4 linked regions of the Diceros bicornis minor genome follow. The protein of the gene in region 2 purifies or fractionates together with the protein of the main gene of each other region. This does not show direct contact. Links are inferred from orthologs where the notes say so. Each region holds a gene or a part of one and is shown on either strand. Other genes may lie near its edges. The genes, in order: ARPC1A, ARPC5L, ARPC2 and ARPC3.

What was found.
Region 1: the proteins of ARPC5L (region 2) and ARPC1A fractionate together in Homo sapiens (co-fractionation; 7 studies listed by BioGRID and IntAct, with this or other methods). This does not show direct contact. The link is inferred for Diceros bicornis minor from reciprocal best matches to the Homo sapiens genes ARPC5L and ARPC1A.
Region 3: the proteins of ARPC5L (region 2) and ARPC2 fractionate together in Homo sapiens (co-fractionation; 7 studies listed by BioGRID and IntAct, with this or other methods). This does not show direct contact. The link is inferred for Diceros bicornis minor from reciprocal best matches to the Homo sapiens genes ARPC5L and ARPC2.
Region 4: the proteins of ARPC5L (region 2) and ARPC3 purify together in Homo sapiens (affinity purification with mass spectrometry; 7 studies listed by BioGRID and IntAct, counting the BioPlex papers as one, with this or other methods). This does not show direct contact. The link is inferred for Diceros bicornis minor from reciprocal best matches to the Homo sapiens genes ARPC5L and ARPC3.

The regions. Positions count from the first base shown.
Region 1 is NC_080765.1:7,346,715-7,354,011, forward strand, and holds the start of ARPC1A (actin-related protein 2/3 complex subunit 1A), read right to left. Parts: upstream 3,005-7,297; 5' UTR 2,915-3,004; intron 1-2,914. UniProt on the Homo sapiens protein: Probably functions as a component of the Arp2/3 complex which is involved in regulation of actin polymerization and together with an activating nucleation-promoting factor (NPF) mediates the formation of branched actin networks.
Region 2 is NC_080767.1:33,364,372-33,371,801, forward strand, and holds the start of ARPC5L (actin-related protein 2/3 complex subunit 5-like protein), read left to right. Parts: upstream 1-4,414; 5' UTR 4,415-4,488; coding exon 4,489-4,643; intron 4,644-7,430. Other genes in the region: RPL35 (large ribosomal subunit protein uL29), read right to left, coding at 1-63, 473-475. UniProt on the Homo sapiens protein: May function as component of the Arp2/3 complex which is involved in regulation of actin polymerization and together with an activating nucleation-promoting factor (NPF) mediates the formation of branched actin networks.
Region 3 is NC_080776.1:8,672,352-8,679,957, forward strand, and holds the start of ARPC2 (actin-related protein 2/3 complex subunit 2), read left to right. Parts: upstream 1-4,588; 5' UTR 4,589-4,683; intron 4,684-4,895; 5' UTR 4,896-4,903; coding exon 4,904-4,977; intron 4,978-7,606. UniProt on the Homo sapiens protein: Actin-binding component of the Arp2/3 complex, a multiprotein complex that mediates actin polymerization upon stimulation by nucleation-promoting factor (NPF).
Region 4 is NC_080774.1:8,970,418-8,978,236, reverse strand, and holds the start of ARPC3 (actin-related protein 2/3 complex subunit 3), read left to right. Parts: upstream 1-4,807; 5' UTR 4,808-4,899; coding exon 4,900-4,905; intron 4,906-7,091; coding exon 7,092-7,191; intron 7,192-7,819. Other genes in the region: GPN3 (GPN-loop GTPase 3), read left to right, coding at 412-527, 640-736, 1,275-1,403, 1,978-2,040. UniProt on the Homo sapiens protein: Component of the Arp2/3 complex, a multiprotein complex that mediates actin polymerization upon stimulation by nucleation-promoting factor (NPF).

The sequences.
Region 1 (7,297 bases), on a different chromosome or scaffold from region 2:
TTCTATTCTAAGAGTGAAGTTACTTAGGTCATTAATTTTTTACTTTTACGTGTTCTAGAATGCAAATTGCAACTCAAAAATAAAGAAAAAGCCTCTCATTGGAAATTTAAAAAAAACTTTAAATGAATTCAAATGAGACTGCTTAATTTGTTTTTTAAAAAATAAGCTTCCTGATGCTACCGTATCATAATTCTCTCTTTATCCCTGATATCAGATGCTTACCTACCACAACAGGTTTTACTCATAGTTCCTCAAAATAACATGTTGTGTAACAGATAGCTCCTTAAGTAAAAGCAATTTAGTTCAAAAGCCACATTTTATAGGTTCATTTGCTAACTGAAACAAAATTGGCCTGCAAATTAATAATTTAATGTGAATATCTGCATGCAATAAAAGCACATATTTCATGTGCTGCAGACAAAGGCTTTCTCACTCTTCAACTCAGTTTTATAAGCAATATAGCAAAGACTTCAAAAGAGGTAAACATTTACACAATGGCATAATTACTTCTAAAATTGCATTTCTAATTTTGTTATACCATTCAAGTTCTATATTTGGACATACACTCAGACTTACACTTCTTTTATAATCATGTGGCTATTCTGAGTCTGTAGACCAAGACAACATTCACGTTTGTCAAATTTATAGGGCGCCCAGTACACACAGACTGTATTCATCAAACTCAGTGAAAGCAAAAGAATAATAGCAGCTTGAATTTTGTACCAAGAAAAGATGCCTTCTGTCGTAGGGTGATAATTATAATTTCTAAGCTGTGATTAATATTTAAGTGGAATCTGAAAACCTTTGTCTTAATGAAGGTAGAGAAGAAAAAAAAGGACAGACAAAAAGGTAGTGACGTGAAATTTAACAATCTTCTATTGATGACCTTTTATTGTCTAGCACTGACAGAGATAATGATTTATAGCACAGTATGACCCCTGGAACACTGCCACCCCCCACCTCCTTTCTTTACCTATCACTTTGAGTACAGAGTCATTCTGATGTTTGGTTAGCCATGGGTTCTGAAGCCAAGGGGACGTGGGTTTGAATCTTGACTTTGACACATACTACCTATGAGACCCCAGGCAGGTCACTCAGTACCTCTAAATCTCGTTTCATCATCTGTAAAATGGACATATCACTGACATCCGAAAGCTGTAGGGAGGAGGATTAAATGAGATAACAAGCGAAAGCATGTAGCACAAAGCCTAGCCCAAAATAGATGCTCAAGAAGTTAGTTCCCTTTCTTCATCTGACCCCAGGCTTTTGAACTATCCCTGGAAGTACACATCAGTTAGCATCCTCCAAACACGGAAACATCCACATATGCTTTAAATTCTTGGCCCTGGTGCTTGAAAGTATTTGTACAGTGGGAATTTCAGTTTTCAAGACGTGATTCACCCAGTTTCTAATTGCTCTCACTACCCAACCCAGCAATACCAGGTACTCCAACAAGGTCACCACACCCTCCACAACGTCCAGAGACAGATTCCAATTCCAGGCACCAGCCTCACCAGCAGACCATTTTAAACTTCTTTATGCAGAATTTGTTTCAGCACAGGTTAGTCAACTAGATCAAAACACTGCCACTCTCCCTCCAAGCAGGAGTTTTAATTTTCCAAGATGATCCCTTCTTTTAATCGTCATAAGTAAATGAATTAACCTTGGAAGTTCTCCGAATACTTTGTTGTAGGAAGCAGCTTTACACCCTCTCCCAAATAGCCTAAAAACACCTTCCTGACTGATAGAGTCTCTGTTTTTTTGATACCTGAAAAACCCAGGGCCTACGTGAAAACAAGAGGTTAGATAAAATTAACAAAAGAGAGCAGAACTAGGATAGTTTAGGTAACTTAGGCAATGAGTTGAGGTAGGTGAAAATCGGTTAGCATTTCCTTCAGGTTCCAAAGCTGCAGTATGAGAACACATGGCTTTATAATCAAAGATCTAAGCAGTGTAGTAAGTATTGGGTTGGGGCCAGAAACATAAATAAATCTGACACTTTTCTGGTCCTTAAGTCTGGAAGAAGAGTGTAGGGGAGGAAGGGACGAGAGACATGCATAGAATGCCCAGAAGCAGTAATAATAGCTAATACTTATTGAGCACCTACTCTGGACTAGGAACTCTTCTAAGCAATTTATGCAAATAAACTCACTTGATCCTCAGAAAAGCCCTAAGAATCTTCTTACTGCAGATGAGGAAACAGGGATTCAGAGAAGCAATCTTCCCAGGGTCACCCAACCAAGTGGTGGTGCCAGGATTGTAACTGCCGCAGTGGGACGGGAGGGCTGGAATGTGCAAGGTGCCATATAAAAGGTTCCTTAGAGACAAGGAGCGAGGAGGAGCGAATATGTGCAATTCTGACTTAAGGGAAGGAGGCACCGGAGCGGGGGAATCTTAAAGAACTCGGGGGAAGGTTTTTCTCGAGTTCGGGAGGGTCCACCCGGCAGCTGAAGGATTGGGGGCTGCCCCAGACAGGAGCCAAACATTCCACGGGCGACGACTGTGTGCAGGGACCTCTCCTAGACGCTAAAAAAAGGAATGAACGGTCCCTCGTGACGCTCGATAGAGGGCAGAGGATCCCATTTACCACAATTTTACAGATTGTGATAAATGCCCACAATAGAGATGCAAATAGGGCAATAGAAGCGCAGCAGGAGTCGTTAATTCTGGCACGGGAGGAGGCTTGGAGCTTGAAAATCTTGGGAGAAGCGATCCCTCAAGGGGATCCCAGGGGCTCGCCAGGCCCCACGGAGAACACGGATCCCCGCCCCTCCGGGAGGCCGGGCAAGGAGACCCGGCCCGCCCCTCAGCCTCGGGCCCCGCGGCCTAAACCCCCGCCTTCCCGCCCCCGCGGGGTCGAGGCCGGGGCAGTGGAGGCCAGCAGAGCCAGAAGCTCGCCCCTGTTGCCCCTTACCTGGGGTCGGGGCAGTCCGGACGGGCTCGGAGCGGAGAATTCGCGGACTCTGGTCAGTCGACGCGAACAGGCTCCGGCGGGCGCGGGCGGAGGACCGAGGCTCAGAGGGAGCGGCTGACAGATCCCGGAAATGGCCACGGCGCCTGCGCAGCGCGGCGGCGCGGGCGGTCCGCGCACGCGCACTGATCGGTCGTGCGGCAGGGGTCCCGAGCGGGTGCGGCGGGTCAGGGTCGGGCCTGTGAGCGGCCGCGGTGGCCTTTCTGAAGCGGTGTCGTAAAACGGCTGGGGAATGGTGACGAGACAGCGTGAACGTCTTACTCCGGTCCTCGAAAAATTTCCTCAGACTGGCGGAGCGAAGTGTGGAGCCTTGGCGCTTTCGCGAGTGCTTTTGTCGGGAAATGAATTACTGAGAATTGAGAATTACTATATGACGCATTTCGCGCCACACGAACCCGACGAACGACTACGTGTTTCCCCCTTCAGAGACACCCCCGTCAGAGCCAGTCTCCTGTGCAAAGCCCTCTCCGAGGAACTTTCGCGACCCTTCCTCAGTCACTTGTTTCCTGCTCCCAAGATAGCGCCACAGGACAGAGGAATTGGGAGAATTCAGCATCTCCCCCCAAACACGTGAAGACAGCTTCCTGTGCAGATGCGGCTTCAAGGAAATGCTCTGAACCCCACTTGCGGCTAGACCTGTCGCCCTTCAAGGAAATGCTCTGAACCCCACTTGCGGCTAGACCTGCCGCCCTTGAACCCACAGAAATTCTGGAGCAGCACTCCTGTCCTCGGGGCCACAGCAGGTCGCCCACCAAGTGTCTGTATGGTTCCCTGTGGTGGTTTACAAGTTTGACCCCAATGCTTGGCTGTAAGGTGATGTTCACAGAAGTGAACGTGTCAAATTCCAAGTGTCAGAGCCTCACTATGTTCTCTGGGGCTGGTTAATCCTCTTGTTCGGGAGCACGCATGCACTGGAAGTAATTGGTTTTGCTTTGTCCCGTGGCTACAAAGTCTTTGGTCCCAGGGACATCGAGGACACATTGAGAGAGCAGAAAGAGCATTTTAAATTAATTACCCCCTCTCAGAGACAGCACCTTGGCAAAGGAAGGACAGCATGCGTGGAAGCAGGGATTCCTCGTGTGTCTGCAAGTTACATGAGCCAATCCGGAAGTGTGCAGAGTTGGTACCCAGAGTAAAAATACCAACAGTGTTTTATTTAGATCCCACCTCTTTGCAAGGGACAGTGCAGTTCCTTCTTTGAAGGAATTTGTAATCTGGGTAGATGAGAATAACACATACAAATTAATAATACCAGACTCTTTATGATAAATGACAAGAAAAGAAATAACTTAGTCCAGGAGAAGTAACAGTAAAACATTTAATATTAATCTCCGGTTCTACCTTTTGAGTTAGTATTTTGTATTTTAGCCTAAACAAAGCTTACCCTTGGATGCATTTCATCTTTTATGAGTCATTCCAGATGGTAAAATTTTATTTCTAAAGGGGCTTGTTAGGTGAAACCATCTTATTCTGTAACTGAGGAAACAGGGCCAGAGGATTTTGAGATTTCATAAAAGTTTTGATGTAAGTCACTGGCAGTCCAGAGCCTCTGTCCTGGTACCTAGTCCAGAGCATTTCCCATTATCCCATCATGCCCTGGTATAAGAGCCATTAGAGAAGGAGAGTGAGTTATTTTTAGTGTTTGTTTTTCAGACTTGTGTAATGACACTGACAGTATCCACAATGAGGACTCTGCCTTTTAAAAAATAGTTGCAGGGACGGGGCCGGCCCGGTGGCGCAAGCGGTTAAGTGCGCGCGCTCCGCTGCGGCGGCCCGGGGTCCGCTGGTTCGGATCCCGGGCGCGCACCGACGCACTGCTTGGTAAGCCATGCTGTGGCGGCGTCCCATATAAAGTGGAGGAAGATGGGCACAGATGTTAGCCCAGGGCCGTCTTCCTCAGCAAAAAAAGAGGACGATTGGCGGATGTTAGCACAGGGCTGATCTCCTCACAAAAAAAAAAAAAAAAAAAAAAAAATAGTTGCAGGGAAGGTGGTACTTAGAAATGGGAAATGGGAGGAAGTGAGGGGTTGGACACTGAGGGGTATGCCATGGGATGGTTTTGTTTGCTTTATTGACTCAGTTGGAATTGGCGTAGGATTGAATTGCAATTTGGTCAAGCTTCAAGTCATTAAATATTTACTGAGTACTCACCAAATGCAAAGTATTGTTTTAAGCATTTCGTGCAATGTACAGAAGAGTTGAGTAAGATCTCTCTGTCCTCAGGGAACTTAAGAGTGGGATAAAACCAGTTCACCGATAGTTTTAAATAGAAGGAAATACACAATCCCTGGAACCTGGAAGGTCCTAGTTAGTGTTTGTTGAATGAAACTATGAATGAATGAAATAAACAGTCTGGGATTTCAGAGAACACAGAGATCACCACCAGTTGTGAATGGGAGCCGGGGCTTGTTGAGACACATCAGGAATATCACCAGTTATAGATCGGAAAGATTACATGTTTACCAAGGTCTGAGGATTTCCTTATGCTCAAGAGAGCTTTGATTTAGTATCTGGAATGTGGGTTTGGAGAGTAAGAAGATTGTTTCTTGCTTGTGCCACCAGCCAAACAACAGTGAACACTTAATGCTGATCTGCCTCCATTTCTGTCTCTTACCTGGGTCAGTGCCTGCCACCTACTCACCACAGAGACTGTTGGAAATATTATTGAATCAATGCCTGTAAAAGCTGTATGTAAGCAAAAGGGTAAAAACAGAAGCGCATGCTCTGTGTTAATACTTAACAATGCTTATGATTTAGATATTGTCTATTTGCTGGGTATCGTCCCGAGGAGGGAAAGTTTCCCATAGAAAAGATCTTGTACAGTTCAGTGCAGAGGGACTGAAAAATGCATGTGGATTTTTCCACTCTAGGTTGCTCACCTAGTTCATTTCCATAGTGCAGGGATGGGACCAGTTTATGGGGTATCTAGGGGCATGAGGTAGTCCAGATGGTATATAAATAGCATTCTATCACAAATACTATACTTACAAGACAAGCACATAAGCATACTTATGAATACCAGGTATTGTTTTTCTAATTTGATAAGTGAAATCTGTAGTCCACAGGCCTGTAAATCTCCTGGAGGCCAGAGCCAGTTCTTCCACAGTTTGTTTCTAACACTTTTCCCGTGTTGTTATGCAATCTTAGATTATTTTAATAAAAAGGTAGTATGATGGAGTGCTTAAGAGAGTTCATTGACTTTGGAAGTAAACAGAACTGGGTTCAAATTCTGTCGCGGCAGCTTATCAGCTATATGCCTTGGGACAAGTCAATCAGCTTCTCTAAGTTTATTGGCAAATGAGGATAATAATTCCCACCCCTTAGGGTTGTTCTAAGGATTAAAATAGACAATGTATATAAAGTACTTGACAGTTCTTGGCACATTAAAAGCACTTAAATTGTGGCAATTATTATTTGAAAATATTGTACCAAGTTGATTCTCATAATTTACTATTTCTCAGTTGTTTTTTTCCCAGTCTGTGGCTTCTCTTCGTTCATTCTCTTAATGTCTTTCAAAGAGCAGAAGTTCTTAATTTTGAGAAAGTCCATTTATTAGGTGTAATGTCTGAGAAATCTTTGCCTAGTCCAAGGTTATATAGATTTTCTGCTATTTTTTTCCAGAAGTTTTATAGTTTTAACATTGATTGATTTTAGAGTGTTAAACTAAACTTGCATTGTTGGGAAAAGTGCTCCTTGGTCCTGATGTATTATTCTTTTTATACTTACTATATTTAGTTGCTAAAATTTTGTTAAGAATTTAACAATTTAAAATCTTTGTGGGCTGGCCCTGTGGCTTAGCGGTTAAGTGCGCGTGCTCCGCTACTGGCGGCCTGGGTTCGGATCCCAGGCCCGCCCCGACGCACCGCTTCTCTGGCCATGCTGAGGCCACGTCCCACATACAGCAACTAGAAGGATGTGCAACTATGACACAACTATCTACTGGGGCTTTGGGGGGAAAAAAGGAAGAGGATTGGCAATAGATGTTAGCTCAGAGCCGATCTTCCTCAGCAAAAAGAGGAGGATTAGCATGGATATTAGCTCAGGGCTGATCTTCCTCACAAAAAAAAAAAAAATCTTTGCTTATGAAGGATATTGTTTTGTAGTTTACTTTTCTTGTAATTTCTAGTTTTGGTATCAGAGTAATTGTGGCCTCATAAAATGGGTTCAGAAGTATTTCTTTTTCTTCAGTTTTCTGGAAGAGTTTGTATAGAATTGGCTTTTCTCAATTTCTAAACATGAGAGTTTTAAGTTATATTTTTGTTAATGATTTCTACCTTAATTGCATAATTTCTAGCTTCATTACTGATTTTTTTTTGCTTACTTATT
Region 2 (7,430 bases):
GTCCAGCTGCTTCAGCAGCTCTTCCTTCTTCTTGCCGCGAAGGTCTCGAGCCTTAATCTTGGCCTGCGCGCAGGAAAGGGACCGGGTCAGACACCTCGCGGGCCGCCCTCCGCTGCGCCCGCGTCGTGGCCAGGCCAGCGGGGCGCGCGCCTCGCCCTGGGCCACGAGCGCGCTGGGGGCCCAGCATCCCCGCTAAGCCGTGCCTTGAGTAGGGCCACCGAGGCCCCGGTATCCCCGCTCGCCCAGGCCTACCACGAGGCTGGGCCGCCACCCCATTCCGCAGAGGGGAAGACGGAGGCACCGGGAGCGCGCACCCCTCCTGGCCCAGGCCGGCTGTGGCGGCGCCAGGCCATTCCGCAAAGCGCCCCACAGGCCCGGCCAGCAGATGGGACCCTAGGGCTCACCCCGCGCCCCCGACCCCAGCCCCTGAGCCCGACAGCGCGCGGATGGCGTCCGATTCCCCAGCTCTCACCATGGCTACACAAGCCGCCGCCGCCGCCGCCGCCGCCGCCTGCTCCGAGGGAAAGAGGAAGGGGGCGGGGCCGACCTCCGCAACTACTGCCGGGTGGCGGCGGGCGCAGCCAATGGCGCCGCGGCGGGGGAGCTCCGGCTCCGCCCTTGCCACGCCCCCACCCCCGCCGCCGGCAGCACCGTGGTACCGCCCGTCTGGCCCCGCCGCGAGGATACCGAGCCCGTCCGTAGCGCCCGCCTCTTCCTCCTGCACCTGAGATGACTTAGATCGGCCTCACGCCCTGAGCAGCGCACTTGGGGAAACCGAGCCCCGGGGTGAACGGCAGCTTTCCGGAGATGGCACAGTGAGGACTCGGATTCGTCCATTCAGTCATTTATTCGTTCATCCATTCATTCGTTCATTCCGTAAACCTTTGCAGGTCGCCCAGTCCGTGCTGCTCTGAGCTGGGCGCCGGTGTTCTGGGGAATCAAGGGGATGAAAGTTTTCAAAGATGAATTAACACGGCCCCTGCCTTGGAGCAATTTAAAGTCCGAGGTGGGCGGGGAGGGGCGGGGTCAGACAGCTATAATCCAACTCTTTAAACGTTCTGGTGGAGGCGGCAAGTGGCAGCGAAGGAGCATTCTTGGCCTTTTTTTAGTGAACCCGACCGGGTTTCAAAGTCTTGCTCTGTTGCCGGGTACAACTGAGACTCGGCAAAACCCCTCCTCTCTCGAGTCTCAGTTTTCTCACCTGTGAGATGGGGTATTGATGAGGATTACGGAGATAACATGTAAAACTCTTAGCACAAGACCTGAGGCATAACAATGCTCAAAATATCATCAGTTACAATGTTCCCACTGGAATGAACGCTTGAGTTGTGCCCTGAGAGTTAAAGGCAAATTCATGAAGCAGGGAAGGTGCTCAGGCTTTCTGACTGGGCGGTTTCATTGTTGCCCCAACGGGCAAGCATGAATCCATGCTCTAGTGTCACTCCATTAGCAAAGACATGCCAACACCTTTTAGAGCTCTAGTTAAAGCCAGGTTGTCCCCTTGTTGGTGTCGGGTGTCACCTCCTCCAGGGAGCCTTCTCCCATCCCCAACATATGGGATTCTGTTAATGGACCTTAGTCTTGGACTAAATTGAGAAACGACCTCCCTTTGTGTCCCAAGCTTTCTGTGCAACCCTCTCTTTAGCCCCAAACATACTGAATTAAAATGATGTTTATGTGTCTGTTTCCATAGCCAGCCTAGAAGTTCCCTGGGGGCAGAACTATGGCTGACATCTGATTTGGTTTTTCCTTTTTTTTTTTTTTTTGTGAGGAAGATCAGCCCTGAGCTAACATTCATGCCAATCCTCCCCTTTTTGCTGAGGAAGACTGGCCCTGGGCTAACATCCATGCCCATCTTCCTCCACTTTATATGGGACGGCACCACAGCATGGCCTGACAAGCAGTGCATCAGTGCGCGCCTGGGATCCGAACCCGGGCTGCCAGCAGCAAAGCGCCGGCACCCAACCTCTATGCCACAGGGCCGGCCCTGATTTGGTTTTTCTAGTCTCTAGGCCCAGCACATGGAGGCTTCTTGGATGAATGAATTAATGAGCGTTGCCCCAGACACAGTGAGGCAGGCTTCCAGGAAGTGGAGGGATATGGGAAAGAGAGGGCAGACAGAGGGTATTGACATGGATTATTAGTCTTAAATGGAACTTGAATGGTGCACAGGGACTCTGCTGTCCTATCTTCCAAATGCTTATAATTCTATTAGAGCTAATGATCGTGTAAGTCTTTTCTGAACTTGAAGTCATCTGTGACTCCCGTTTCTCTTACAGGCCACATTCAATCCACCAGCACATTTGGCAGCCTCTACCTTCACAATATACCCGACCTCTTCCCACCACTCTTTGTTGTTTTTTATTGTATTTTATTTTTTGGTGAGGAAGATTGTCTCTGAGCTAACACCTGTGGCAGTCTTCCTCTATTTTTTGTATGTGGGATGGCGCGACAGCATGGCTTCACGAGCACTGTGTAGGTCCACGCCCAGGATTTGAACCCCGGGCTGCCGAAGTGGAGCGTGAAACTTAACCAGTATGCCACTGGGCCGGCCCCTTCCCACCACTCTTATTGGCACCTGCCTGGCCTGAGCTAACAGGCCTGACACCATTGTGTCACCTCTTAAATCACCTATTTTGGCTCTGGTTCGCATACGTGTTCTCAGCACAGCTGCTAGCAGGACCCTTTTCAAACTTAAGTCAGATCATGTCACTGCTCTGCCCATAATTTCCAGGGCTGTCCCATTTGAGTTAAGACCACATCCTTTCCTCAGCCTACCAAGCCCTACAGCATTCCCTCCAGCCCCCACTTCTATCTCAACTCTTCTCTCTCTTCTGCACCAGTAAGGCCTTGCTTTTTCTGGAATACACCAAGCCTGCCCTGCTTCTGGGCCTTTGCTTGGCTCCCTCCTTCACTTCCTTCAGGTCCCTGATCAATGTCACCTCCTCAGGGACACCTCTCTTGACCACTTTAGCTAAGGTACACCCAGGCTCTGCATGGTTTTTTTCCCTCAGCATGCAGTCATCCTTGTCATAGTATAGTTTGGATTTTTAGAATTCTGCCTCTGACTGGAATGGAAGTCCATGGTGATAAGCAGGGACATTATTTCATTCACCAGTTTATTTGGGGGCTATTTCTTTATTTGTAAAATGGGCTTTGCTGGTTTAAAGTTCCTTCTGGCCAGGATGTTCTCGGGATATGAATTTCTGCTGTCTTGTGGCCTGCCTGGGTCACAAAGATTTCTTCCAAGGTATGGAGCTGAAAGACAGGTGGGCCTTGTCTATTTTCAGGACCCCCTGAGACTTTAATTCAGCACCTATTTCCCCCTGTAGGAGTCTGTATCTTTAGCACCCAAGATTAGGTAGCATCATAGTCTGGCAATATTTTTGACCTGTAGACAGTTCAATGAGAAGTATTCGAAGCAATAAGAATGAATCACATTTCATTAACTACCGGCCTTTATTAAAAAGAGTACTATTATATGAAAACAAAGACTCAATTTAGTCGAAGGCTAAGGACCATTAACAGAACCCCTCAAGCAACAGCCCAGGCACCTAATGGTGGCAGTAGAGTCGCCTTTGACTCTGCCCTACCTCCCCCCACCTCCATCTTGCCCCATCTCAGACTCAGGGGATTCGGCTTCCTACCAGGATATGCCTCTCCAGCCTGGCCCGACGTCAGCCCCAAGGACCTCGTCCTTCCTGCCAGGATGGTGGCCAGAGTCATCTCCCTCTTCCCGCCGCCCACCCGCCCGGCCAAGGTGTCTGCTACACGCCGCACCCTCAAGTCCAAATGTCTTCATAGTCTTGTCAGCACCCTGGATACCCTTTAAACGTCTATAAAGTCTCCCAGTCCGTTAACAACAGGGTCTCTGTGTACAAGGCAGAGGCTGCCTCCTCGGAGCTCAGTGTAGTGGCGTTCAAGGCTCCCAAGATCCAGACCAGGCTCCCCCACCCCCGTCACTCCTCGGGGACTAAGAACTACTACTCATCCCTCAGGCCTCAGCTCGAAGGTTTCTTCTCCAAGAAGCCTGCCCGGCACTCGACACGTAGGGCCGGCCGCCTTCTCCTGGGCCCCCGGCCCCTCAGGCTGGGCAGTGAGGCCCCCGGAGTCCGCGGCCGTGCCCGCGCCGGCCCTTCCAGGGGCTCCTTGGACGCAGGAAGGAAACCGAAGAACGAGCGCAGTTACGGCGCCTACGATGCTGGCTGGGGCCCTCTCCTCGGATGGGAAGAGGGGAGTGCAGCAGGCTACTTCTCCAGCCCCTCCAGTCGCTCCGGAGGCGCCCCCACAGGCCCCGCCCCTCCGTCCCACCGGCACTTCCGGTTCCGGCGTGGGCCGGAAGTGGGCGGGCACGGCGGCTGCGCGCGGAGGAGGAGGAGGCGGTGCCGGCGGCCGCTTCCCGCCCCCGAGCCGGAGCCGGTGCTGAGCAGAGCCGAGCCGAGGTCCGGCCCGGAGCGGAGCCGGCTGAGCGGGCGCCGAGCCCCCGCCATGGCCCGGAACACGCTGTCCTCGCGCTTCCGTCGGGTGGACATCGACGAGTTCGACGAGAACAAATTCGTGGACGAGCACGAGGAGGCGGCGGCGGCGGCGGCGGCGGCCGAGCCAGGCCCGGACCCGAGCGAGGTGGACGGGCTCCTGCGGCAATATCCTTCCCCGGCGCGGCGGCCTGGGCTCCCCTGTGGCCCGGCCTTCCCACTTCCCTCCTTCCCGGCTCCGGTCCCGTGGGCCGGCCTCCCCACTCCTCTTACCCCGGCCCGCTCAGCTCGGTCTCCCAGCTCCCTTCCCATCGGGCTCCCCTCTGGCCAGCTCCCCTCAGTCCGGGTGTCCCCTCTTCCCCCTGACCCGGCCTCCCCCTACCTCGTCCCTGGCCCCGGCCCCCAGAGCCTCCCTCAGCAGCGCAGCCCCATGCGGCCCCTAGACCCTGGTGACCGGCCCGCTCGGCGGCCCCGGGAGCGTGCCGGACGGCCTCGGCCCCGCACTCCTCCAGGCCTCTTCTCTGTTCTCTTTCTTGCTTCTTCATCCTCTCAGGCTGTCCCTTCTTTGGGGGCCCCGTCACTCCATCCCTCGCTTGCAGGAAATGGGGGCATTCTCGGGCTTGATCGGCGGGAGGGGCCGAGGTGAGCCACCGCTGAGTAATTGAGCGGCCGGGGCGGCTCCAGGGCAGCCCTCTCGCGCTGGATTGCAGCACCACACGAAGATGGGTGGGTGGATGGGGAAAGGACCCAAGGGGGAGCGCAACCTGCAGCGTTAGTCCAGCCCTGAGGTCTGAGCCTGTGCTCCTCCCACCCCAGAATCAAACTGACCCTCCAGCTTGATGCCACTCTTTGTCGCCCATTCTTGGGCTTTGGACCTTCATGGTCTCATCCACGTTCAACAAGTGAGTTTTGGCTCCCTTCCCCCTGCTACCTTTCTTGTGCAGGAAGCAGTGGAAAAAACTAGTAGTTTAGAGCTAAGAAAAACCAGAGTCAAGTAAAATGTAAAAGTAGAGCCCCACGCCTGCAAATGACCTTTCTTGTGGCCACAGAAAACAGCGTTTAGAAAACAAGATTAAAAATAGAGGTGGTTGTCACAGCCTGCTTGGTCCCTTAGCAGTTTGAGCACAGGAAACTGACTTATTCTCACAGGAAGGATTTTTCTTGATTCAAATGGTGTTACAGGAAGCGCCCACCCCTCCCCCGCGCTCACCAGGGCAGGGTTGGAGGCTCCTGCTGTATATAAAGCAGGTTCTGGGTGTTTAATCAGTTGACTCAGCTTGGGAAGGCAGGCCCAGAGACTGGCTTTGGGAGGAGTCCTGCAGTGTTCTTCCAATTTACCTTTAAAACAAAAACCTTCTGACTTTCTTTCTTTGAACAGGAATGTGTTGTCAAAGGTGGGGATTCAAACTTGTATTTCCTACCCCATCAGGATCACCTTGCTTACCCCACTGGCGAAATGGGGTCATGAGAAGGGCCCCCACGAGAGAAGGTTGGTTTTGCAGTCTGGTGCAGGACCTGGCTCGTGGGCAGGCAGTGCCAAATGGGCTCCAAGTTCAGGCCTGTGGCCCAGAACCATCCGCAGATGGGGAGAACAAGGTCTGGTTACCTGCTGGCTTGGTCCTGGTGCTGTAGGGACTTGAAGGTCATCTCTTGGTACGCCCCTGACTAGTGATAGTCAGGTTCCTTGAGGCTGCTTAGCACATCCAGTAGATGGTAGTTTCTCCACTAATGGCAGTGTCAGAAACCTTGTTACCATGGAGAGTGTACCTCCTGGGATTGGGGAAAGGGAGGTTAGCACGTGAGAACTGAAATTCTGGCAAATGTGGGGCCTGGGGAGGAAGAACTAATACTTACTGAGTCCCTACCACGTGGTATTGGACTCACATTAGATCGTTGAATTTAAACTATGGAACAGACTTCTAGGAGTCTCAGGACAGAGGCAAGGGAAGTAGGGATAGGGGGTGGTTGATTGGAGTAGGGGAAGGTAGGGAGGAGGTCTGTCCTAGTGCTGTATAGGGAAGCAAGTCCTGGTGGGAGATCACACAGAAGCAATAGAAAGAACATGGGCCATGCATCCACACAGACCCAACTCTATCAGGCTCTAGCTGTGTGACCTTGAGTAGGTCACATACCCTCTCTGAACCTTAGCATCCTCCTCTGTTAAAAGGAGGAGAACCATGCTGGACTTCGAGGTTCCATGGGAGCATCGCTGGGCAAAATCCCAGAAGGCTTCTGCACAGTGCTGGGCACACAGCAAGTGCCTGGACGTGCAGCTTGCGTCTGTGGGTGGAGCGGCAGCAGGGCTTGTAGGAGGAGCTTGGTTTTTGGAGTCAGGCATATTTGGGTTGAAGGCCAGCTGGACAGCTTAGCTTTGTGACCTTGGGCAGGTCATTTCCCTTCTCTGGGCCTCAAATTCATTGCCTTTAAAATGAGAATAATGATTCTTGTCGCAGAGTTGTTAGCAGTAATGAAGTAACACATCAGAGCACCTGGCACAGGATCTGAGATCTGGTAGGGATTTTAAAGTATTAGTTCCTTTTCTTTGCTGAAGCACCTTCTGGTGCTCTGGAGCAGCGATCTGTCCAGAGCAGTGGTTTGAGTGATCTTGCGGAACTTGGTGCTACTGGGATCTAATGGGTAGAGGCCAGGGATGCTGCTAAATATTGTATGTTGCACAGGACAGACCCCACATCATTCATCTGGTCTGAAATGTCACTAGTGCCGTGGTTGAGAACCCCTGATTTGGAGGAGACTAGGGGCTGGGCAGGGTTCCCCAGCCTCCACAGCCTGTTCTCTGGAAGGGCCTAAAGCCAGCTGAGTACAGAGGCCAGCTTGATAAATGGTGTGCCCTCCTGCTCCCCAGCTCTCCTGGGCTGCTGAACGCCCTTCCCCATCTGCACCTGCAGTGAATGCTGGGTACCTGGTGCCAGAGAGAGGTCACTAAAGCAGTGACTC
Region 3 (7,606 bases), on a different chromosome or scaffold from region 2:
TTGCTTCTACGCCTTCATACATGCCTCTGTATCTACCTGGCTAATTCTTATTTTAAAAACAATCAGATTTTTTTTGTGTGTGAGGAAGATTAGCCCCAAGCTAACATTTGTTGCCAATCCTTTTCTTTTTGCTGAGGAAGATTGGTTGGCCCTGGGCTAACATCCGTGCCCATCTTCCTCTACTTTATGTGGGACGCCCGCCACAGCATGCCTTGACAAGCGGTGTGTAGGTCCGAGCCCGGGATCCAAACCTGTGAACTCCAGGCCACCAAAGCAGAGCGCATGAACTTAACCACTCTGCCACCAAGCCAGCCCCTCAGATATTTTTTCATATCCATCCATTTCAAAGTCTGACAATGCCAAGTGCTAGCAAGGACAGGGAACAATGAGAACACTTATACATTGCTAGTGGAAGTATAAATTGGTACAACTACTTTGGAGAGCAATTTTGCAACGTCTAGCAAATTTGAAAGTGTCTATAGCCCACATCTCAGCAGTTACATTCTTAGGAACATACCCTAAAAAAACCTTCACACCTGTACACAGGAAACTCCTAGGAACATACCCTAAAAAAACCTTCACACCTGTACATTTTGCTATTACAAAGTTTTGCTTGTAATGGCAAAAACATGGGAAAAGAACTTTAGTGTCCTTCAACAGGAGAATGGATAAATATATTAATAATCATAATGTATAATCATATATTGGAATGCTACATCACAGTTAAAATAGCTACATGTAACAACATGGGTAAATCTCAAAAACATATTGTTGATTAAAAGAAACAAGTTTCAAAAGGAGATAATAGAGTATGATACTATTAACAAAAAGCTTAAAATCATACAAAATATGCTATACATTGTTTATGGGTACATGCATATGTAGCAAAAGTGTAAAAACATGCGTGGGAAGGATAAACACCAAATGCAGGGTGATGGTTGCCTTTGCTGAGGAGGGGAAGGAAGGAGAGAAAGAATGGAATTGGGTGAGGTTCACAGGAAGTTTCAACTGCGTTTCTTTTTCAAAAAGCTCTGAAGAAAGTTTAATTATAAAATGTTAAGATTCAAGAAAGCTGGGTGGTGGGTACAAAGATCGTTGTTCTGTTAGTCATGAGTTTAAATAAACCAAAAGCAAGATGAAGAAAATGGGAAGATTGGGTAAAAATCTGCATAAAAAGCCTTTGGTGTTCTAGGTCCCCAAGCAGTCGAGTGATTATCCTCTTTCTCACCAGACCCATCCCGTTTCTACCCCTTCCTCCATCTCCACCACGGGAGAGTCATTTTCTATAGACTCCAGCCAGTGGAAGGCAGTGGGGAGGCAGAGGGCTGATAACGGGATTCAGTAGAAGTCAGCAGGCACTCAAAGCATTCTTGCCCGCCCCCACACACTCTGGGAACACTCACAGCCAAGCTTACAAGCTGCAAACACAACCAGAGGGTTTGTCCCTGGAGAAAAGACCTCCGAATATTGACATCTGTGGGCCCCCAATGAAGTCTGGCACATCATTGGTGCCTGTTATAGTGCAGCCCACTAATCCAGCCCTTCTCCGAACATAACGTGCATTTGAATCACCTGGTAAGCTTGTTGAACTGCAGGTTCTAAATCTGTGGTTTATAGTGGGGCCTGAGATTCTGCATTTCCAAAAAGCTCCCAAATGAAGCCAGTGCTGCTGGTCCCTTTCGAGTAGCAAGACGCTAGTCAACTCATCTCGCCCACACTCAGCCTCCACTCAGCTTGTTACAGTCTCATCTTTAAATACGAGCAGACTGCTAAAGTAGCCAGACGTTTAAGGATGGCCATTAACATAAAAGAGAGAGACCAAAACAAATTAGTATAAAAAAGGACTCAAAGAAACAGATCAAAGCAGAGAGCAGAAGAAAAACTAAAAACAAACACACTATACCATCCTCAGAGAGAAGATATATAAAACAAGGATAGAATAATATGGGGAGGATTCAGCTGGGGAGAAAAAGGTCTTCAAGAAACTGAAACTTCAAATGGTTGAAGATTGGTTGCACAACAGCATGAATATACTTGATGCTACTGAATTGTACACTACAAAATGGTTAAGATGACCGATTCTATGTTATGTATATTTTACCACAATTAAAAATAAAATAACCAAAAACCCCAAAGAAACAGAAAGTAGAAGGGAAAATTAAAGGATCGATCTAGAAATCTAACTTTTAAAGAATAGGCATTCCAGAAAGAGAAGAAAGAAAATGGAGAAGTTATCAAAAAAAAATCAAAGAAAATTTTCCACAAAACTGAAGTACATGAGTTTCCACTTTGAACGAGTGCTCAGTACAAAAAAGTTGAGTCACAGCAAAGCACATCATTATAAAATTTCCAACAAACAATCTAAAGAGAAAATAAAGAGAAAATCCTAACACTTCCAGAGATGGAGATGATGTAACATACAAAGGATCAGGAATATGAATAAGAGTTAGACTTTTTAAACAGCAACCCTGAAAGGTAGAAGAAAATGGAATAATATCTTCAAAATTATGAGGCAAAATTATTTTCAAACTTGAATTCAATAACCAGCCCAACTACAAATCAAGTGTTAGAATAGAATTCAGATATTTTAAAATATATAAAGCTTTCAACAACATATCTTCTATCTCCCTTCTTAGGAAGTTACTAGAGGAGGTGCTTTAGCAAAACAAGGAAGAAAATCAAGAAAGAGGAAGACATGGGATCCAGGAAATGGGCAAAAACAGCCTAGAACAGCAACAAAGGAAAATCCCAGAATGACAACCATACAGTAAGTCTAGAGCACAGTCAATCCAGATTGAAACAAGAGGAAGGAAGGCTCTGGAACAAAGACTCTAGAGAAAAAGTGGAACTTGTGTATTTGGGTATATGGAAAATATTGCTAGAGTCTTGGACAGTCTTAGAGCACCTGTGGGGTAGGAGGCAGCCAACTGTAGGAAAATATAGAAAATTGACAAGTGAGAGAAAAAAGGCAATAATTAACTCTAAGAAAAATGAACAGCTGTATAAGCTAGAAGGCATGGTTGTGGTGCACTTCTTGGCTCACTGGTAAACAATACTTGCATACATAATAATTTAAACGCTGATTATTGGTTTAACCAAAAACTGTTACATAACTATGTGGAGGCAAGAAACAGAAGGGATAGTCATGTTCTCTTTTTTTTTTTTTTCCTAGGTTCATAATTTATTGTATAAATGGAGTATCACATGATGAGTTGACATTAGCTTCTCAGGCATGGAAACTTAACAGACAAGGTACAGTTTAGAATCCATTTATGTCGCTTTCACAGCTGAAGATTTTTTAGACCTTAACCTGAAGTATAAGACCCTGAAAGCAATGCTTCCCTATGTGGCCAGTACACAATTCATTCTACCTGTGAGAGTATAAGAGTTGAAATATTTTTTGATACCAGTGAAATGGAATTGGGCATCAGTTTCTGGACCTGCCATGATTTCAACCTTGTAAAATGCACCAATTCCACAGCTGATAGAGTCATGTTCTTATCTATTACAGCAGGAAGTCAACAGATAATCCTTAAAATTAACAAATCAAGAATTAGTAGTATAAGCATTTATTTAGATATATGGATCTAATCCGGATGAATACGTAAAAGAGTTGAGGACATTGCCTCTAAGGCCAGGGACCTGCTTTTTTCACTACAAGCCTTTTAGTACATGTATTTTTAAACTACGTATCCGCGTTACTTTAGTTCAGTAAACAATAATGTTAAAATGTTAGCGTATAATTTCGGGGGATCTGCAATGTCTTGAAGCTTATCCATGGCCAGTATCACAAGACACACAGGCAGAAGGTGCGAATGTAGCACAAAAACGAGTTCAGATTCTGCACGCAGTTGAGGAAGAAGGTACGTCTCTGGCAGAGGTCCTGGAAGGGTTTCAAAAGCAGAGACATCACGTTCGGGGCATCTAGAGGCAGCTCCCCAGGCTCAGAAATGGAGGCACGACAGGAACCCCGCAGGCCCCTTCACCTAGGTGACTTCTCGCTCCTTCCCGTCACTGCCCTTTTAACAATTTGTAGTTACTACTTGCGAGTTTGTGGTCAGTTTCCTTTACCAGACTATAAGCTCCACGAGGGCAGGGCCTCGTCTATTTCATGCACCACTGTATCCTCAGCACAGAGCAGGAGCCCACTACATATTTTTTGGAGAAATGAGGGCGTGACGGTGCCGCCGGACAGCCACTAGTGTGGCAAGAGGCACGGGCACACCCACAACCAACAAGCTGAGAGCAAAGAAGCCGGCTGGGCGATGACAAGAGCGGGGGTCTCTGAAATGGCAAGGCCGGAAGGGTGAAGCTGGACCTCTGGGACGAGCGGGAGGGAGGCGCTGGACAGTGAGGCAGGCCCTGGGGAAGGACGCTCGCCGGACAGGCACACTTGCAAGCGCAGGACGTCAGGGGGTCTGTGGGAAAGTGGAGGCGAGGTGGCGGCACCGCGCATGCGCAAGCGCAGCCTCCGTGCCCCCTTGGCGCGCCTGCGTGCGCGTGCACGAGGGGTCGGAGCGGAAATGGCGCCGCGGGGCCGCGCGTCCGGGCGGCGAGCGGAAGTGGGTGTGAGAGCGGAAGTGGCCGGCTGGAGCCGGGGGCTGGGCGGGGACCGGGCTTGTCGGTGAGGCGGCAGCGGCGGCGGCGGCGGCTCGGCAGGCGGGTTCAGGCTTCGGGGGCCAGGTCGGTCGGGTGGGTGGGTGTCTCCACAGTCAGGGCGTGCGCGGGCCAGCGCGCGCGTCCTCCCCTTCCTCCCACCCCGGTCCCTGTCCCCTTCTCCCCTAACCTCTCACCCCACCCAGCCCCTCCTCAGGGGCCAGCGGGGCGCTCCCTCCGTCCTTCCCCCCTTCCCCACCCTCACCTGCCCTTGTTTCTCCTTCCCCTGCCCGGGGCAGCCGCCGCCATGATCCTGCTGGAGGTGAACAACCGCATCATCGAGGAGACGCTCGCGCTCAAGTTCGAGAACGCGGCCGCCGGGTGAGCGCGCGCCCGGGGCGGTGGGTGGCGGAGGAGGTAGAGCTGACCCCCGCTGCTGCCGCCCAGTGTCGTGCCGCCCCCACACTTGGCGGAGAGGGACAGGGGGCCCGGCCGCGTGCGGGCACTGCCCCGGCGGAGTAGACGTGGGAGGCGATGGGGCGCGGTGGGGTGAGGGGCAGAGATGCACGGGGCGAGGCTCGGAGCGGGGATGCGGAAGCGGGGAGTGGACAGGAGTGCGCGTGCTGAAGGAGGGCCGGAGACCTGTGGGACGCGAGGGCATCTGGGGCCGGCACCCTCGCTGGAGGAGCCCGCTGTCCTCTCTGTTCCCCGGCATTGTTCTGATCCCGAAGGGAGCCCGTTTGGGATTGGGGTGGAAGGAGTTTTCAGGAATGCCCAGGCCTGGAGGAGGGCGGAAGATGCAGGCCCAGGTCACCACCGGCCTCCTTGCTCCCCACCCCCACCTCCTCGTCTCCAGGAGCGGGAGGGAAGACTGAAAGCAGACCCGGTCTTGCAGCGAGAAAGACGCGATCTCTCCCCTTTCCCTTCCCTGAGCCCTCCCGTGAGAGGCACACTAGCCATTTTGTTACATATTTCTCACGCAGAGCTAGTGGTCTCCCCATCCACACCCCTTCCTTATCTCTGTTCTGAGGTTCTAATTCTCCTCTCCCCACCCATTGGCCTTTATCTGGTTATCTTTTAAATTCTTATACTGGACCCCTGCTCTGTGATTTCTTCCGTGGTAGTCCGGGCCCAGGTATACACTTAAAAACCTGCAAAGTCTATAAAGTTCTTAGATAACCATTTTTTACTGTTGGCCTAAGACATATTTCCAAGGCAGCCTTCTCTGTCAAACACAAGAATGAATAAAAGCCAACCTCCTCCTCTAGAGCTGCTTTGCGTTTCTAATATAATATTTAAAACGTGAGCCGAGGAATTGGTTTTAGCTTCTGATTTTTGGTGGCCTGCAGCCGGTTCCTTTGCCTCATTTCCCCCTCTGTGAGGATGGGGCTTCACATCTTGGTTGCACAGTTGGGGAAATAAGTGTGAACTGTTTCTGGTGAGCTGGAAACTAAGAACAGGAAAGGAAGTGCTTGGAGATCCACCAATGGGAGAGGATCGGTGGAGGGGAAATTCTAAGTGGTCATAATGAACTTGTGGCTTGGAGGCATTTAAAAAAAAAATACTTCTAACCCACTGCTTGAATTGAGCATATTGTATCTCCTGTCTCTTTTATGAGGCCACAGATTGTATCTAAAACAAAGCAGGACTTTCCTTGAAGCATTGCATGCAGTGAGCAGTAGCTACTGTTTCCTGCCAGGGGCTGCACTCGCTTATATTTTAGGCTAACTTGCTTCTCGTCCGTCTTCAGCCTCGCTTCCCAGTTCCTTTACATTTTAAATGTTCGAGCGAATCAGCTCAGAGTCTTATTTTGGGTGATTGCCGTGTACTTTTTTGAGCAGTGTAGCACACAGGAGGAAGTTAAATTAACTTCTGCATTTTCACAGCTGATGTTAAGTGCATTCTCAAGTCCAGACTAGCAAAGAATGAGACCCGAGTGGTTATAAGCTGATCTACGAGATAAATGCCTGTGCGTTTTCAAGGAGAAGCATGCCTGGTTTGAGGAGTATGTTCACATCTGTGTATTAATAACTTGTGATTCCAAAGTGTCGCCCCTTATTTAGAACTTCAGCTCTTTTCCTTTTAGAAGATTACTCTTAAAAAGAGCAACTAACCATTTCAGAGGAATTAAAGTAGGCACTCAAGTCTGGAAGGCATACATTAGAACTTCTAGGACATTTCTTACAAGCTCTGTGTTACAGCAATGTTGGCTGTGGGGGCAGGGCAGCAAGCTTTGGCTTTTATTCTGGCCCATCTTCCCTTTGAGATGTGACTTTAAATAAGTGGGCTCAGAACATATTCTGCTGAAAAGCACTTTGAAAATCTTTGAAAAGAGACCATGATAGCCAGCCTAGGAGGTAGGGCTTTCTTGGGATTGCAAATATAACACCCGCAGAAGCCTTCTTCCAAGCCCAGTGTGACTTTCCAGGCATCCATTAAGTAAGGTGAGGCAGCAGTGAAGTAGTTAAGTATTTATCAAGGCACATACCTACGCCAGAACTTCCAGCAAAGGATAACTAGTATGATAATCATCAACATTTATGGGATTCTGCCAGTGCTCAGCACCAGGCAGGAACAGAAAAAGAGGGGCTTCCTGAGCGAGCCTATTGGCAAAGTTAGAGGGGAGATAAGGGATGAGATGTGTTGGGGTAGAGATCAGAAAAAGACATTCAAGTAAGAGTAGCTTGGAGGAGAAACCCTGGAGATCTGAAAGGCTCTGCCTGTGTGGGGACCTGCTGGGAGGAGTCAGCTCCACCCAGCCCTACATTTCTCAGAGCAAAGCAATTGGGGAAGTTATGGATCCGAGCAGCCTTTTGCAGAGTGAGTCTTCCAACTCTGCAAAGTCCAGTATGATAGCCAGTGGCTACATGTGGCTAGTTAAGTTGAAATAAGAATTAATTAAAGTGAAGTAAAATTAGGTTCCTCAGTCACACTAGCCACAGTTCTAGTGCCCAGTTGCCACATGTGCTAGTAGCTGCCGTATTTGGAGAGTGCCGATGTAGAACAAAGT
Region 4 (7,819 bases), on a different chromosome or scaffold from region 2:
ATGTGCAACTATGACATACAACTAACTACTGGGGCTTTGGGGGGGAAAAAAAAAGGAGGAGGATTGGCAATAGATGTTAGCACAGAGCCGGTCTTCCTCAGCAAAAAGAGGAGGATTAGCATGGATGTTAGCTCAGGGCTGATCTTCCTCACAAAAAAAAAAAAAAGGTATTGTCTAAATTGAGATTTGTGACCACCGTAGATTAAATCTACCTCTTCCTTCCTTATCCTCACCTTTGGAAATCATGAGACAACCATCTGATGAGTGGCCTGTCTTTTCTTCAGGATTAACATTTTTTTTAGTTAGGCCAGTTTTGTCCCAGTGAGAGCAGAAGCCTCTCTTTTATGTGGGGACCAGGGAGCTTTGTTGGCAACAGTTGATTTATCTTCTCTTTTCTGTTTCCTCCTTCAGTTTATTTCTGGCATCTTGGCAGCCCTGAGTGCTATGATCTCTCTAGAAATTCCACAAGTTAACATCATGACGAAAATGGATCTGCTGAGTAAGAAAGCAAAAAAGGAAATAGAGAAGTGAGTTCTTCTTTTGTTATCATCAGATCTCAACTACAGGGATGTGAGGTTCTATCAGTCTATAAATCTAATTTCTTGATTATTCTTCCTTTTATTCATCTCACTTTTAAAGGTTTCTGGATCCAGATATGTATTCTTTATTAGAAGATTCTACAAGTGACTTAAGAAGCAAAAAATTCAAAAAATTGACTAAAGCTGTATGTGGACTGGTAAGCTTTTTAAGTTTTTCTTTTTTTAAAAGACCTGGTCAGGTTGGAAAAGCACAATCCAGTCCCATTTCCTTGCAAAGGAGAGGAGGATGGTGGTAGGCTGTGGGCTGGCTGGTCAGTAGTTTAATTTAGAAGTAGTTATTGGCAGTAGCTAATAAATTAACTGACATGTCTCTTATTCCAAGCCATTTTGAGAATTCAGAACTATCTGTGCCCTTGTAAAGTATCCAGTGGTTATTGAATACCTAGAAATTATTTCACAGATATTATATATATGTGTATTATATTTTCATAGATAAATACCTATGAAACAATGTCTAGTTATGTAATAAGTTAAAGAATGTTCTAGTAGGTCGGAGATCAGAAAAATCAAGGATGATTTGCTGTTATTCTGTCTCTATCTACCCCTCCTCCCCCTTCCCTCCCACAGAAATGTTTTTAATCAGAAGTATAAATGGTTATAAACTCAACTATAGATTGAAAATTAAATATTTTGTACAACTTCAGAATGACCCTTTCTGAAATCCCCAACTTGTAGATTGATGACTACAGCATGGTTCGATTTTTGCCTTACGATCAGTCAGATGAAGAAAGCATGAACATTGTATTACAGCATATTGATTTTGCCATTCAGTATGGAGAAGACTTAGAATTCAGAGAACCAAAGGTAATTTTTGATTATTGGCTTTCGGTAAAAATGTTTGCCAGCGCTCACTGGCCTCCTGCATAATCCCAGCAACTCTTTAAATTAATTTTTGTCTTAGTGGCAGCAGTAACCTTGGCTTTTCTGGGTGATCTCTGAAATTGACACCTGGGCTCAACAAGCAGTGTCAGTTGTACCCTACCTGTTATCAAGGCAATATTATTGAGTTTTCTTTGTCCTCACAGCTCGGGGGTGTGTGCAAAGAGGAAGTGAAATCCAGTTGAACTTGGGCTGCCTTCACATATGTCAGTGGAAAGACCAGGGATAGTTGTCAGTAGGGCGCTGTCACAGCAGATTAGCTGAGAATTGGCGTGAGTGTAAGCTCGAGTAAGATACGCTTCTAATGAGATGTAGCGCTTGAGTTTACCACATATCTGGAAAAATACTGTCAGTCATGCCTTTTGTCACTATAGACGACACGTGGAACTGCTGCTGGGCGTTAGCTCCTGGTAGAGCATGACCTGGAAAATGTCAGCACACACTTGGTCTAACTGAGGGGAAATGATATATTTTCTATTTTGTGTTTCCTTTGTGTCAGGAACATGAAGATGAGTCTTCTTCTATGTTTGATGAATATTTTCAAGAACACCAGAATGAATGAAGAGTTTATTAAAAGTGACTATATATATATGAAGAGCTTGTGACTGAACCAGCAGAATATTCTTGTCTTCAAAGGATGCAATACTAGAAAGCTGCTTATTTTAATGAAAAAAATAATACTTGGCTTTTTATCAGCAGCATGCCTGAATCAAGTTCTGAGTTATTCTGAAACTGCTGCTGTTTAACAGCAGCAATTTAGATTTTAAAAGTCGAAATTGAAATGAATGCACATAGATTTGTATATAATATAAATTAGTCCCTGTGGTACAGTTAAGACCACTCTACCTTTATTTTTATCATTTGTTATTTTTGAAGGTTTTTTGGAGGGGCAGAAGTTATTGTAACAAATATACATATGTGTGTCCAAAGGAAAAAATCCAGAAGAATATAGATAAGATCATTGCTTATCTGTATCTTCCAGTTTCCTACATTGAAAATGTATTATTTGTATAATTAAGAACTGAAAAGTAACTATGTTTTAAGATATAAATGTATATAAATAAAAGAAATAGAAAGATAGCACTAACTTTTCATTACACTCTTGTTTTCCAGTCAGAATTTAAAATACTCAGCCAGGACAAATTTTTGAATGAGTCAATTTCCCCAAGCGTCAAAATGTAGGCAGTGATTTCTTTTAAAATGTTTGTAGTCTCTGAGCATTTAAACATTTATACTTTCCTTGAATAATAACAGATGCACACAAAAATATAAAAGACGTAATTTTTTCTTTTTAACTTCCTGCACATTGAATTGTTTATTTTCGGTATTTCTGAGTTCATTTGGGTTGGGTGGAAAGCATGAGGAATGACTGGTCAATCAACAGGTATTTCTCTGGCACCCACTGTAGGCCAGGCCCTACTAAAGCAAAGCGGAATCTCATTTATCGAGTTCTGCCAGGCATTGTGCTAAGAAGTGTTTTACATAATCTGGTTCATTTAATCCTCATAGCAGGCCCAGGCTCCATTACTCATTTGGCACTGGATCTTCCAGCTGATACAAATTAATCCCTTATAGAAAAGCTGCAACTCAGGTTAAATTTTTAATCATTCTTGGGCCTAGATAGCAGAAGTACACCTGCAGTGTCACATTGGATCCATTTTAATCAAAGGCAAAATTGTGAGGAGTCAGCCATCAGGGGTAAGTTGTGCCTGGAGCCCAGGCTCGGGGCAAGAGTCAGGTATTTGCACCAGGGTGCCTTAATGTGAGTCTTCTCACAGGGGCAATCGGGAGCACGTGATGAGTGGGCAACCTGGGGATGTGCTGTCCTGCCTGGGGACTTTTCCTGTGGCCTTTAGTGTGTAGAAAGTGTGAAAACACCCTGAGCTCCTCATGTTGCTACTTTTTAGAAATTTTATTGTCACATGAGAGGGGAAGAAAGAAAAGGCAACTTTTCATTCACCCTCCTCATTGCTCCTGGAGCTGTACCTCCCTGGTTTAGCTTCTGGAGAGTCTGGTTTGTCCCTCTGGGCAAGAAGTGAAAGGCCAAATTCCATTTCCTTCCCCTCTGAACACTGGGGTTTCAGAATGAATATGACAGTTCCAATCTTCAAGGATTTCCCTGTCTTGTAGGAGAACCTGACGTGATTCTTCAGACAAATTTACTGGTGGGAACCAGGCACTGAGGATAAAATAGGAGCACTCAGAGCAGCAAGGCCCCTCTCATGGAGCTGAGGTGCTGGGCTCTTGAGACTAACCACAAACAAGGAAACCTGATAAGGAATGGGAAGAACAGAAAACAGTAATGAACTGGGGAGTGACTAAGGGATTACTTTGGGCTTGTTGTCAAAGAAGCCTCCTAAAAGGTACTATTTGGCCAGAGCCCTAAATGAGAAATCAGTTGTGGGAACATGGGGCAAAATATTCCAGTCTGAGGGACTGGCAGAAGAAATGGCCCGAAGCAGCAATGAACTTGGCTTGTAACATGAGGTGATTTCTAGTAACCTCTCTGTGCCTCAGTGGGGCCGTGCGCTTAAAAACGCCTGAGCTTTCAGTATCTTCCAGGCATTTAAGTTCTAAGCACTTTACATGCAATTCGTTTCATCATCACAAAACTGAGGTAAGTACTGTTATCTCCATTCTCAGGTAAGGAAACTGAGGCACAGAGAGGTTAATTAACTTGCCCCAAATTACACAGCTAGCAAGTATTAGAGCTGAGATTCAAACCCAGAGTCCACTTGCTCAACCATTACAGTACTGCCCCATTGCAAAGAATTGCAGTGCGGAGTAACGCACAAACCCCTTCTTCCCTGTGCTCGTTTCCCCGTTGTTAAAACCAATGGGTTGGGTTCGTTCACTCACTCAATAAGTGTTTATTGGTGCTTACTATGTACCATCACTGTTACAGGCGCGGGAGATACAGCAGTGAACAAAACGGACAAAATCCCTGCCTTTTTTACGCTCATATGGATGGGGAGACGGAGACAAACACCAAAAGTAAACTAGATAATAAAAGAACCATAAGAACTAAGGGAAAGAAGGGTGAGGCAAGGGGGTGGAGTGGGGTTGAATTTAAAATAGTGTGACGCAGGGAATGCTTCACTGAAAAGCTGATCTTTGAAGAAAACAAACGAGGTGATTAATCACTGGGATTCTGTAACTCCCAAACCCATCCCCACTGCGCACACGCCTCACGCATGCGCGACACGCGGTCCCTGCCTAGTGCTCGGGCGCCCCCTGGCGCCCCTCCGGATCCGCGCAGCCGCAGCAGCCAGCGGCGCGACAGCAAGCCCGGAAGCGCCGCGTCCTCCCCTCGCCCTCCCCTTCCGGCTCACTTCCGCCTACCCCGCCCGGGCCGCCAGACCGGAAGCGCCGCGCTCTAACCTGTCTTCCTTGTCTGGCTTGAAACCCGGGCGCCGCCGAGATGCCGGTAAGGGGGCCGGTCGGGGTGTGGGGAGGCGGCGAGAACTGGGGAGAGCGGCGAGGAATGGTGCGTGCGCTGAGACAAGCGGGCCGAGGAGGGCGGCGGGGAAGCAGGGGCCTGAGGAGGAGAGAGCGAGGGCAGGGGCCGGTCCCTTGGAGTTGGGGCGCCCGGGGCGTCGGCCGTGGGGGCGGGGGCGCGGCAGAGAGGGCCAGAGACCAGGGGCGTGCGGAGGAGGCTGCCCCGGTCCTTTGCACCCCCTTCTCCCCAGTCCCGATCCCTTCTCTCCCCCTTTCTGCACCCCGACTCCGGCAGGGTCCCCAAAGCCTCACTAGCGCCGCGAAGCCAAGGGCTGCGCTTTTATTTTTCATTTTTCAAGTCCGGGGTCCGGCTTCTCCTTTTCGCCTGCAGGCCCACTTCCTCCTCCGCCCCAGGGGGCGGGTCCCTCCCGCTGCCTGTCGTCTGCCAGACCCCGCTTCCCCGGCTCCTCCCCTGTCGCCCCGGCAGTGGCGGCCACCCCTGAGCTGCTGGGTTTAGGGCCCCAGAGCAGACTCGGGTCCGCGCCTGGTTTCCAGATGTTTCTGTTTTCTTGTGCATCGGGAGTAAAATTGATGGTGGTCTGATTGCTCTTAATTTCTGACAGCCAGCCTCTGGGGTAGATTTATCACCGTCATGGTCTCCATTTTGCAGATTAGGAAGAAGCTTCAAAAACGTGACTATTCATACAACAAACATTACTGAGCACCTGCTGCATACCAAGCACTGTTACAGCAGAGCATAAGGCCAACAAATAGCTCCTCTGAAGGAGTTTACATTCTAATGAGGGGACAGACAATAAACACGTAAACGTAAAGAAAATGAAGGAGATGGTTTCAGACAGTGACAAATGCTATGAAGGAAATACCAGATGGGTAACAAGACAGCAGCTGCTGAAGGGGAGGGTGGCGGCTGCTTTAGGTGAAGCAGACCTGTGATGAAAAGGAGCAAGCCATAGTTACAAATGTGTATTTTATGAATCCCATAGCTACCATTTGACTCCTGATGTGTGCCAGGCAGGCCCTGAGCTGCACACTTCATATAAATTATCCCATTTAATCCTCACAGTAACCCTAGGAAGTAGATATGTTGTTGTTTTCTCATTTTGCAGAGGAGGAAACTGAGGTTCAGAGAAGTTAAGTAACGTGCCTGAGGTTGCGCCCAAAACGGGTTATAAGCCGGGGACTCTAAAGCCCGGTGCTTATTCCAGTTGCATGTAGAGCACCCTGGACTTCCCTTGTGATTGCTTATTTAATATTTGTCTTTTTCATGAGCCTGAAAGTTCTTCAAGAGTGGAAACCATACTGGTCTTGCATCCCATTATATCATGGTGCCTTGGATGTAGAAGGTGCTTAGTAATCGTTTGGTGAATGAATAAATATATGAATGGGGCCCATGTTGCCTTACAAAAAGCCAGACATTGTGTAAAAAGCGGAACTACGAATCAGCCTACAAATTGCTCTCGTTAATGTGATTTTTTTTCTCCTTCTTTAACTCACACCTGCTCTCTGAAGGCAGTATCTGTCTCTTCATTTTACAAATTTAGAAACAGGCTGAGAAGAAAAGTGATGTCTTGGTCAAAGACCAAGCCAGGAAGTGGCAGACCTGAAAAGCCACTGCTTGGGTTCTGGCTTAATAGCAGCTAGGGCGTGGGTACCCCTGATTAATATAGTGTTTGCCTACTTCTGTAGTGTAGATACTCCCACCAGGTACCAATGTGATGTTACTGAACATAGAACGGGAAGAGATGCCCAGTCACATCCCATTATATAGTATTTCCACCATAAAGATACAAAGACATAAATAACCTTAAGATCATAGACAATAGTGAAACAACTTTTAAAAATAACAAGTAGTGAATTTTGAGTATTCATTACCTTTGTTTTTAATACTATTTTTTAACTGCAAATTTATATAATTTAATTTTTAATAATGGCTGTGTTCAACAACCAACTTGGCTCAAAATTTCTCAAAATTTAGCAGTCAGTTTTCATGAGCCAGTAAGAGCCAGCTCCAGCACGTCGATGCCACTATCCCTCTGCCCCCTCCCCTGGTTAATCTTGGGTGGGTTGCTCTTTTTTTCCTTTGAGGAAATGTTCTTGTCTGCTCTGCTGACGTTGCTCTCTGCTTCTCTGTTCTTACCTGGCTTGCCACCACAGGCTTACCACTCTTCTCTCATGGACCCCGACACCAAACTCATTGGAAACATGGCCCTGTTGCCCATCAGAAGTCAGTTCAAAGGACCTGCCCCTAGAGAGAGTAAGTTGAAACCCCTTTCCATTATTTTCAGATTTTGGTATGAAACATCTAGCAATGCTCTGATATTACCCAATTGGGGAAGTCCTGTGCCTCAGATTGCTCTTGTGTTTTCTTTTTTTTTTTTTTTTTGTGAGGAAGATCAGCCCTGAGCTAATATCCATGCCAATCCACCTCTTTTTCTTTCTTTCTTTCTTCTTTTTTTTTTTTTTTTTTTGCTGAGGAAGACTCACCCTGAGCTAACATCCGTAGCAATCTTCCTCCACTTTATATGGGACATCGCCACAGCATGGCCTCACAAGCGGTGCCTCGGTGCGTGCCTGGGATCCAAACCCGGGCTGCCAGCAGCGGAGCTCGAGCACTTAACCACTAAGCCACGGGGCTGGACCCGCTCTTGTGTTTTCTATTTGCTTGGTGGATATTGCTTTCTAGACCTTTCAAGATCATGGGTATATGTTGCATTTAGTAGGAAACTGTATTATTGCTGCTCATTTCTCCAGGGTATTCTATCGAGGGGGAAAAAAATGCTTCAGTCGTGACACTGTTCCTATCATCTGTGAGTTCTTTCAAACTAATCTAACACTGCTACATCTGTAAAATGCCGTGTCCCTGTCCTTTCTCTGTCATCAAA